2 linked regions of the Neodiprion lecontei genome follow. The protein of the gene in region 2 binds, or shares a complex with, the protein of the main gene of each other region. Links are inferred from orthologs where the notes say so. Each region holds a gene or a part of one and is shown on either strand. Other genes may lie near its edges.

What was found.
Region 1: eukaryotic translation initiation factor 3 subunit H (region 2) and eukaryotic translation initiation factor 3 subunit F share a complex: the UniProt entries of both Caenorhabditis elegans proteins name them as parts of the eukaryotic translation initiation factor 3 (eIF-3) complex. The link is inferred for Neodiprion lecontei from reciprocal best matches to the Caenorhabditis elegans genes eif-3.H and eif-3.F.

The regions. Positions count from the first base shown.
Region 1 is NC_060265.1:19,772,605-19,777,522, forward strand, and holds eukaryotic translation initiation factor 3 subunit F, read right to left. Parts: upstream 3,043-4,918; 5' UTR 2,991-3,042; coding exon 2,882-2,990; intron 2,578-2,881; coding exon 2,408-2,577; intron 2,238-2,407; coding exon 2,055-2,237; intron 1,451-2,054; coding exon 1,235-1,450; intron 1,067-1,234; coding exon 893-1,066; 3' UTR 810-892; downstream 1-809. Other genes in the region: 46 kDa FK506-binding nuclear protein, read left to right, coding at 3,617-3,626, 3,848-3,937, 4,021-4,918. UniProt on the Caenorhabditis elegans protein: Component of the eukaryotic translation initiation factor 3 (eIF-3) complex, which is involved in protein synthesis of a specialized repertoire of mRNAs and, together with other initiation factors, stimulates binding of mRNA and methionyl-tRNAi to the 40S ribosome.
Region 2 is NC_060262.1:35,038,112-35,041,907, reverse strand, and holds eukaryotic translation initiation factor 3 subunit H, read right to left. Parts: upstream 1,779-3,796; 5' UTR 1,589-1,778; coding exon 578-1,588; 3' UTR 507-577; downstream 1-506. Other genes in the region: coiled-coil domain-containing protein 174, read left to right, coding at 2,054-3,796. UniProt on the Caenorhabditis elegans protein: Component of the eukaryotic translation initiation factor 3 (eIF-3) complex, which is involved in protein synthesis of a specialized repertoire of mRNAs and, together with other initiation factors, stimulates binding of mRNA and methionyl-tRNAi to the 40S ribosome.

The sequences.
Region 1 (4,918 bases), on a different chromosome or scaffold from region 2:
GCGATAATACAGCTAATGAAAAGATCTTTGATATTTGTAACTTTAATCTGATTAAATTTCTGGACACTCACAAAAAATGTTTATCACATATTTTAAATACCCTAGCTATGGAAAACTTACGTAGGATTATTCGCAGTATTTGGTACTCGCAAAATTTTTTGAATTGTTCTAGTTGAATTTGTCATCGTTAATCGAGTTGAATCTTAAGTAAATAAACAAAAAATTGAGAATTCAACAGAAGTGCACTCAATGCGGACTGGTAGTTTCCTCCTTCCTGTCGATTGAATCTAGATTTTCCCTGATCAGGCCTAATGAAGAAGCACGGTACAATTCACAGTAATCAAATTACTGACAACATTAGGTTATACTGAAATTCTGAAAGAGAGTTAGTGGATGATATATGAAAGTGTTTTTACAAACTTACTTACTGGATTAAATCCATAACCAATATCGATATTTCCAGGATTTTAAAATTGCCCTTGTTCTATACAGTCACAAAGAGATATAAAAAAAATACAAGCTCCAAGGCGTGATAATGTGGTTTAACGTATATGCAAGATTTGAAAAGTTTGTAATTTTGGTCGTACAAATATACTATGGTTCAATATTAGCAAATTGTACAAAACATTGTGTGATAAAACAAAACACAAGACGGTTTTCTGCAAACTACGACCTCCGACGTTTGGAAGCTATGGTAGAAATAAGCACAGTTTCAAACGTTCAAGAATCTTCTACTGTGATGTTTTGTAAAATATATGTGTTATGTATATATGTATAAAAAACTAGATTAAGCAATTTAGTTACATCAGTTTGTTTTTACAGATTTTTATTGGAGCCATACATTACTCTTAGCTTTACTTGGTGCTGTTTATTTGGTGAGCTTAGTTTTGGCTCATAAGGTAGTCAGAAGGGTGAGCTTCTCGTTCAGCTGTAGTTGAGTTTTGATTAACTGGGAAAGAGCAACAACCATGAGGAGGTCCTTGACATTGCTGTTAAACATTTGGTCGAACTGATCAGCTGACATTTTAGGTACCGAATGTACCATATCTAACAGGGCTCGCCCAACCTGTAATTTTATGTTATTTTATTCAATTGTTTATTTTCAATACTTGATTGTACAGTACTTGCGAACATGTACAAAGGTCATCCAAATTTCTTGTTATAGAAAGTGAAATATTGCCCAGTACATTTTGAATTATTTTCATTCCTACTGCTATCTACGTCAATTTGTTACCTGATTATCAGCAATTTGTTTGCCTGCCAAAACATCATCTACGTAATTGAGGACTTGGTCTACCAAAGTCAGTAGTTTAGTGCTAGCTTCTGCTATTTGTGCCAGGTCTAACATTGGTTCTACTCCCCCCTGCTTTGAAAGTGCTTGACCCGGAGGTAAAGTTTGTGTTTTAGCGCATAGTTGTAGCCCTACGATCTCAGGTTCATAAGAAGTGACCTGTTGTAAGTAAAAGTACAAGTTATTACCACTCCAAACAGAGCAACTACCAGCAGCTGTACCTGAAAAAGGTGAGACAAGAATTTTTTCGACACCTACTTGGCAGGTTAAATTTTTGAAGCCTATGGGGCATACGTAAAGTGTCCCAATTTTGAACAGTGTGATGAAACTATTTTTGCGCAAATACTAGGGATTTCTTGGGCACACGCGTACTTTCGACCAACTCAATCGTTGCTCAATGCAGTGTCTTGCATTAAGCGTATGTTCTATAATCACAATTTGATATGCTATGAGTGGCTCATTTGGTGCTTCTTAAATCGAACTTCCTTTACAGGTATTGGAAAAATTTGCTTAATCATATTATTACAGTGCTCGCCTTGGCTCATGCTGCATTTGCACTAGTATTCCTGCAACTGCAGCACTCGCCTTTGTTGTTCGGGGTGCAAACTTCACAATTACTCACTTCTAACACAATATAGTATTATAGACTCCAAGAGATGAATAATGAAAATTAGTTTTTTCACAGAAACATAGTACAAGTAAAAATTCATAAAACCTTGACCTATTATTGCTAAATTACTAGTTGCATAAATTTTTTTTTTACCTGAACTCTGACAGGTGTAAACATACAACCCTGCTTGCCATTTGGCACACCCAATTGGACGCATACGTATGCCTTGATACCCATTCTAGTAGTGTTGGCCATTGTTGTGTCCAGAGTTAAATGAACTGGATTATTGCATTCTCGGGCATAATACTCATGGATGACAGATGAGTGATTGGTAACCTGGATCACAAGGAAAAAAACTTGATGAATAAACATATGTTGCTAAAATCAAGAGCATACTTTTCAAGTCTGATTAAATTAGCCAACACATTCACTGTTTGGATATTATTATCATCTTGTAAATATATTTGAGATGGGAAGCAAAGTACCACAACTCTTGACATCTGTACCTCTTTTCCAGTAGCCCACCAACCCACTATGCTTTCTTGGGCATTTACTCGGTGATTTAAGTCGTACAGATCCATTGCGTAGTTCAGCTCGGCTTCGACCTGATCTGCATATTCCTTGTGAGGTACGCAGAAGCAATTTGTTACTTCAACAATGCCCTTCTCCACCGTCCCTATGAAAAATCATGATAAATACGTTCTGTCGAGACAATACCTGAACTTACATGACAATTTGAGTACTAATTGCAAGGAAAAAGTATAGAAATTTTTAGGGAATTCAATTCTTTTTAGATTTCGCTGAAATTTCACATTTGCAGTAGACGTGACGTTAATAAATTATAATGTTTAAAAGGATTGATAATATGGAAACATGTGACATGTAGAAGGTGACGTCCGACGTTCATTCGTCTATCCGCTATCACAATTTCTGAGAAACCGTACGAGTAGTCGAAAGTTTATTCTGTGTTTCTTTGTTACCAAGCAGGGTTCCGATGACACGGTGAGTATCCGCATTACGTCGCTCGTAGGCATCGACTATTTGAAATAAAACAACTGGGTGCACCTTGACAATGAGGTTAAGCGCCATTTTTGGTGCGTCAAAGTTGGTCAAAAGTGGTCAAGAGACGTTGGCTATAATTACAATAACGCTGTTAGATCGTAAACCCAAACACTGAATCCTGCTACCTCTAGTCAATTACAGTTGTGAACTGTTGTGTCTCACTTTTCTCGTTCTCATTTACGTCCGGTGATTAATGTTGTTTTGCCCGCAAAATAGCTGCCCTCATTTGAAACAATACTGAAGTTGTGATGCGAAAATTGCCAAAAAAATGTTTCATCAGCATGGTCAATATTTCTGTATATTGTAAAATAAGTTTTGTTGATCATTACAGATGAAAAAACTGGATTTGGTTTTCATTTCATCAGGGTACCGTTGGTACTGCCTCTCGAGGAATCAACATGAACTCATCGTACCAGATGAAAAAAATGATGACCAATTCCTATCTAGTCTCTTCAATCGTTCATGGCCTGTTCCTTTACCGCCGGTTCAATCACATCTTGGCGCGAGTAGGATCTAACTCCGAGCACCGGGAAACCGTTGATCAACTGTGCATGCGTTTCTTTTATTTTCGGTGATATATTATTGAAGTAGTGAAAACGATTGTTGATTCATTAAATTTATTGCAACGTTTATTGTAGGTCAAAATAGCCAATATGTTTTGGGGTAAGTACCAACAAGTGCCATGTGTTACCCCTGATCTGAGCAGATCTGAGTTGCCGGTTATTTCAAGAATGGCGTCGCCATGTGATCTCCAATAAAGATTATCACAGCGTGCGGGCTAAGAGCTCCATACGCGAGGATGAAATTCCTCGTCTAACGTCATTCCGAATTAAAAAATGACCAATAAATATAACCACCTAAAAGTATGTTAATGTTTGTTTCAGGCTTAATTATAGAGCCGAATAAACGGTACACGCAAACCGTAGAACGGTCGTTTCACGTGTCCATGGCGAGCTTGGACACAAATACTGGAGGTAGGAATCTTCTATTTTTCGTTTCGATACCGAATCCAATATGAATTTTTCAAATTATTATAATCATGCGGTTCTTATTCAAGGCTCGTATACTGGGGTTGTTCAAGTAATGCTTCATTACGAGAATCGGACTTTTCTTTTATGCACACTGAACAAAGGAGCTGCGCTGCAGGTTCCGTTGGATCTCAATTTTCAAGAAGGAACCGAAATAGCCTTTAGTTCCAATGGTAGCGGTCTTGTACATTTGACAGGATATCTAGTACCAGAAGAAGATGACCTAGATGATGAACTAGAAGAAGAAGAAGAAGAGGAGGACATTCCACAGCTCATTGGTAAACCAAGTAAACGCAAGGCCACAGATTCCATTAAACAATCTCAGAATCATTTGAAACGTCTGAAGGAGGAGGGAGAACAACAGTCTTCTGACGAAGGTGATGACGATGATGAACTAGATGAAGAAGATGATGGGAGTGATTCAGATGAACTGCAAAGTGCGCTACTGGACGCGGAAGAGGAGGAGGATGAAGATGATGATGATGATGATGATGACGACGAGGGGGATGAAGAGGAGGAAGAGGAGGAAGTAGTCAAACCCTCATCAACCACAAAGAAACAAAAACAACAAAAGCAGCAGCAGCAACAACAACAACAACAACAACAACCAGCACAAAAACAACAGAATAAAAAGCAAGAAAAGCAGAAATTACTGAACGGCAAAGATGTCAAACAAGATCAGAAACAGCAAGCTAAACAACAAAAGAAAAACAAACTTGAACAGCAAGTCCAAGCTTCAAAGCAGGAACAAAAAAAACGAGTAATTGAAGGTGGTGTACAAATAGAGGATTTAACACTTGGGTCTGGCCCTCCGGCAAAGGCTGGAAAATTTGTTTCAGTTTATTATGTAGGACGGTTTAAAAATGGGAAAAAATTTGATTCATGCAGTCAGGGAGATGGATTCAAGTTCCGTCTAGGGAAAAATGA
Region 2 (3,796 bases):
AAAGTGAAGCATACGGTAACCTGACATTACCAACAAAGGAATTAGAAGCTGTTCTGCGGAATTACCGATGCCAAGCAGAATTGTAACGCTGCATTATGCGCCTATATACTATGTACCGATTTTGCATGCGAAAATTAAGAGCATGTATATATACATATATATATATATATATATTTAATTCCAATAACGGTTGATGGAAGACTTCCGGGGAAGAAAATTGCACCATTCTGCTATGAGGATTCTATTTTATACTGGCCCAAACTAGCCCAGACGTGGCAAACGATTGCAACAAAGACCAGGATCTTGCAGTCAAAATATTTATCGTTTCATATTTACTTATCAAATATACAAATAATAAATCAACACTGGCAATATTGTAAATTGATACCATAGATTGCACAAATTTTAAGAATAAGTATTGAAAAACCGTTTGGAATAATTTGAATACACTGTAATATAAAGAAAAAAGAAGAAATAATATTTAGTTTAGTAATTAGTCCAATCAATGGTTTGAAAGGAAAACAGTTTTATTGTTTTCAATTGGAATACAACGAGTCTCTGCACAATAAGCTACAGATTAATTGGTAGACTTGGATTCCTTGGCATTCTGTAGACTCTGGGTGATGTACAACTTTGCCAAACTTTGAGAACAGAACTGCGATATGTGCTGACTATAGGTGTTTATCTGTCCAGCAACGATCATGGGGTTCAGCCTGGGGGGAACAGGCAACGGCCTGAGCAGCTTGTTGATATCGTCATCGGGTAGAGGCGCCTCGTCCTTAGCAGCCCTGGCTGCGTTCTCCTGTGCCCGCTTTTGCATCAAACGATTCTTGTCTTGTTGCTGACGAATAACCAAATGCTGATGACGGTTGAACTTAATAGCTTCTTGGTTCAGCTCATCTACTCTGTCCATCAAGCACCTCAGCTGGTTTTCCAGGACCGTGGCGGTACCGAGGTCAAGATACTTGGTTCCTTCTTCTTCGGGAATCATTTCCTCTAGTTCAGACATCATGATGTTTGTAAGATTGCTGTTCTTTATGACAATCGGCACTTCGACGAATAGAGATTCGTAGCCAATTTTTAACGTGCGCAGCGCATCGGGCGTAAATTCTCCTTCCTTGTACATTTGGATCGCTTGTGGAGTCAAGCGATAAGCCTTTAGTGTCAAAAAGCCCCTAGCAGACTTGGCCGTGTCGTAAATAACCACCACTGACTCTTCGATGGATGTCTGATAGTGAAACTGCGATTCCAACAGAGGATGGCTCAGAAAGTTTCCAACGTCAGCGCTCTGGTACCAACCAACGTGAAAGTGGTCGACGTTCACTCTACGCAGCCTGCGCATCATGGCAAGTTGATATTCCTCTTCATCCATGGTTTCATCGTTCTTGGGAAACGGAAAGCAGTTGGTGATCTCCAGCCGATTGTTGACAACCAAACCAAGCAGAGCACCCTGAGCGACTTCCATGTTGCTCGTGGATTCTTCATGACAGTGTTTCACCATTTTCATCACTGCCAAACCGTCGGTCTGAACGTAATCTATCCGGGACTCCGTCTCCGGTATCCTCCTCGATTGCCCTCGCGTTGTCATTTTGTTCAATTAAAAAATCACCTCTCTTGTGCACGAAGCGTTGCAAATTTCAACCACTCAATTTAACAAAAACCGTGCTTGATAGATAGGCAGATGGAGGACGGTACTCAGCTAGGTTAGGAAGGAAGGAACGACGGAAACAGGGCACAGCCAAAACCACCGGACCCGGATCAAAAGGAAACGTCAGAAAATTTTCGAGCTGTGTACTAGCGTCCTCTGAGCCGACGGAGGTTTTTACAACTAATTTTCGATAGCGCGTACATACATACGTGTCTGTATTCAAACCGTATTTACCATCTCGAACGCAGTCGATAATATAGTGCATCAAAAGTATGCAAGCTAAATTAAGTTAGGTTAGGTTTGGTTAGACAAATCAGAATCTTCCTGCCCTTCCTGCCAATATACGTATATAAACGTCAGTAAACAGTGAAATGGTAATAAACGTCAAATGATTTAAAATTGAACATGAATAATTCAAAGAAAATAAACGTGAATTATTCATCATTAGTGGGTTTGAAAGCTGAGCTTCTGAGGAAACAAACCGAAGTTAAAGACGCGAAAGCAAATGCGGAAGTAACTTCTATACAGTCTAAGCACAAGGTTAGGACTAAAAAGTCCAAGACGAAAAAAGTAAAAATTGAAAAAGAACTAATTGACACCGACGATATAAAAGCTCACAAAAAGTCGAAGTTGATGCTCGAAGCAAAAGCTAGGCTTTACGAAAATTTGAAAAGGTCACACAGCAATAAAAACGAACATTTTCTGGTCGACTTTGGTAACAAACCACAGTCAGAAGATGAGAAATTCGATTCGGATGATTATGAAGATGCAAACTCTGACCCGGAAGAAGACTGGGTTGAATACGAAGACTGCTTTGGACGGACAAGGAAATGCCTCCGTAGAGATTTGTCGACAATGCAGAAAAAAGATGACTTTGTAAAGCACGAAGTCATGAAAAAGTCCCAAGGAGATACCGAAGTTGAGGATGTCAGGCCTCCAGATGTTGTCACACCTCCGAAAGAGCCAGAGATTGAAATAATGCGAAGAAAATGGGAGGAGCAAACGGAAAAGTTGACTGAGAAAATGAATATTCATTATCAAGACATTCTCTTTGACGAAGCGAGAGCCCACGGCGTTGGATACTACGAATTTTCCCAGGATGAAGAAATGCGAGCGAAGCAGCAAGCAAACTTGGATGCATTGAGAAAGGAAACCATACAAAAACAAAAGGAAATGCAAAATCTAAAGGAAATGAAAGACAAAATGGAACAGAACAGGCTAAAGGCGGCTAGAATACGACAGAGAATAAGGGCTGGACTGCCCCCTGAGCCCACGGACGAGGAACTCGTGAAAAATGATGAGGTGAATACAGACAAGATGGAAGTTAAAGCAGAAACTGAAGAGAAAGTCGAATCTGATGAGAGGAAAATAATTGAATATAGGAAAGAAAATTCACTTATCGAAATTGAGAACAAGATAAAAGCTTTTGGCGAACTGCTTGGTAAAAGAACACAGTGGTATGAGATGTCGCAAGAAGAATGGGTCTACAAGCGGAGAAAAGATAGAGATGAAGAATTTGCCCCCTTATACAATAATTTTAGAAGTTCCGGGTATTTAGAATCCAAGAATACCGATCAGGACAAGGATGAAAGCTCAGCATCGCTCGATGATAGCTTATCTGGTAAAAATGAGGAAACCTCCGAAAGTCCTGCTATTATCGAAGAATGTGGCACAAAGAAAACGGCCGATCAACTCGATGGCACGGATAATCAACAAAGTCATATTCCGCATTCTGAGACTTCTACAGAGTTATCACAGATTACCATGCCTAAGCAAGTGATTAGCAATGCTGACACAGAATCATCGGATAGTAGTGGTTCAGATGTAATCGGACCGATGCCACTATATACCGAATTACCCACACAGCATGTGAATTTTCAACAAACATTCGCTACCCTGCCAGAAAATATGAGAACAGAATTATCAGGCATTGATTTTTCGAAACCACCTCCAAATATGCAATTTGGCCTTACTTCAGATATTTTTAATACTGGTCCAGAACTGGTACCAACTTCAGTCCCACCCCCGAATCGCGATTGTTTACCTATGGAATATCATCTACCGGATTCTACATTGTTGAGCTCAATAACTGGCGTGGATTCAAGTAAACGATCAGCTGACACCAGCATGTCGGATAATATTGATAGT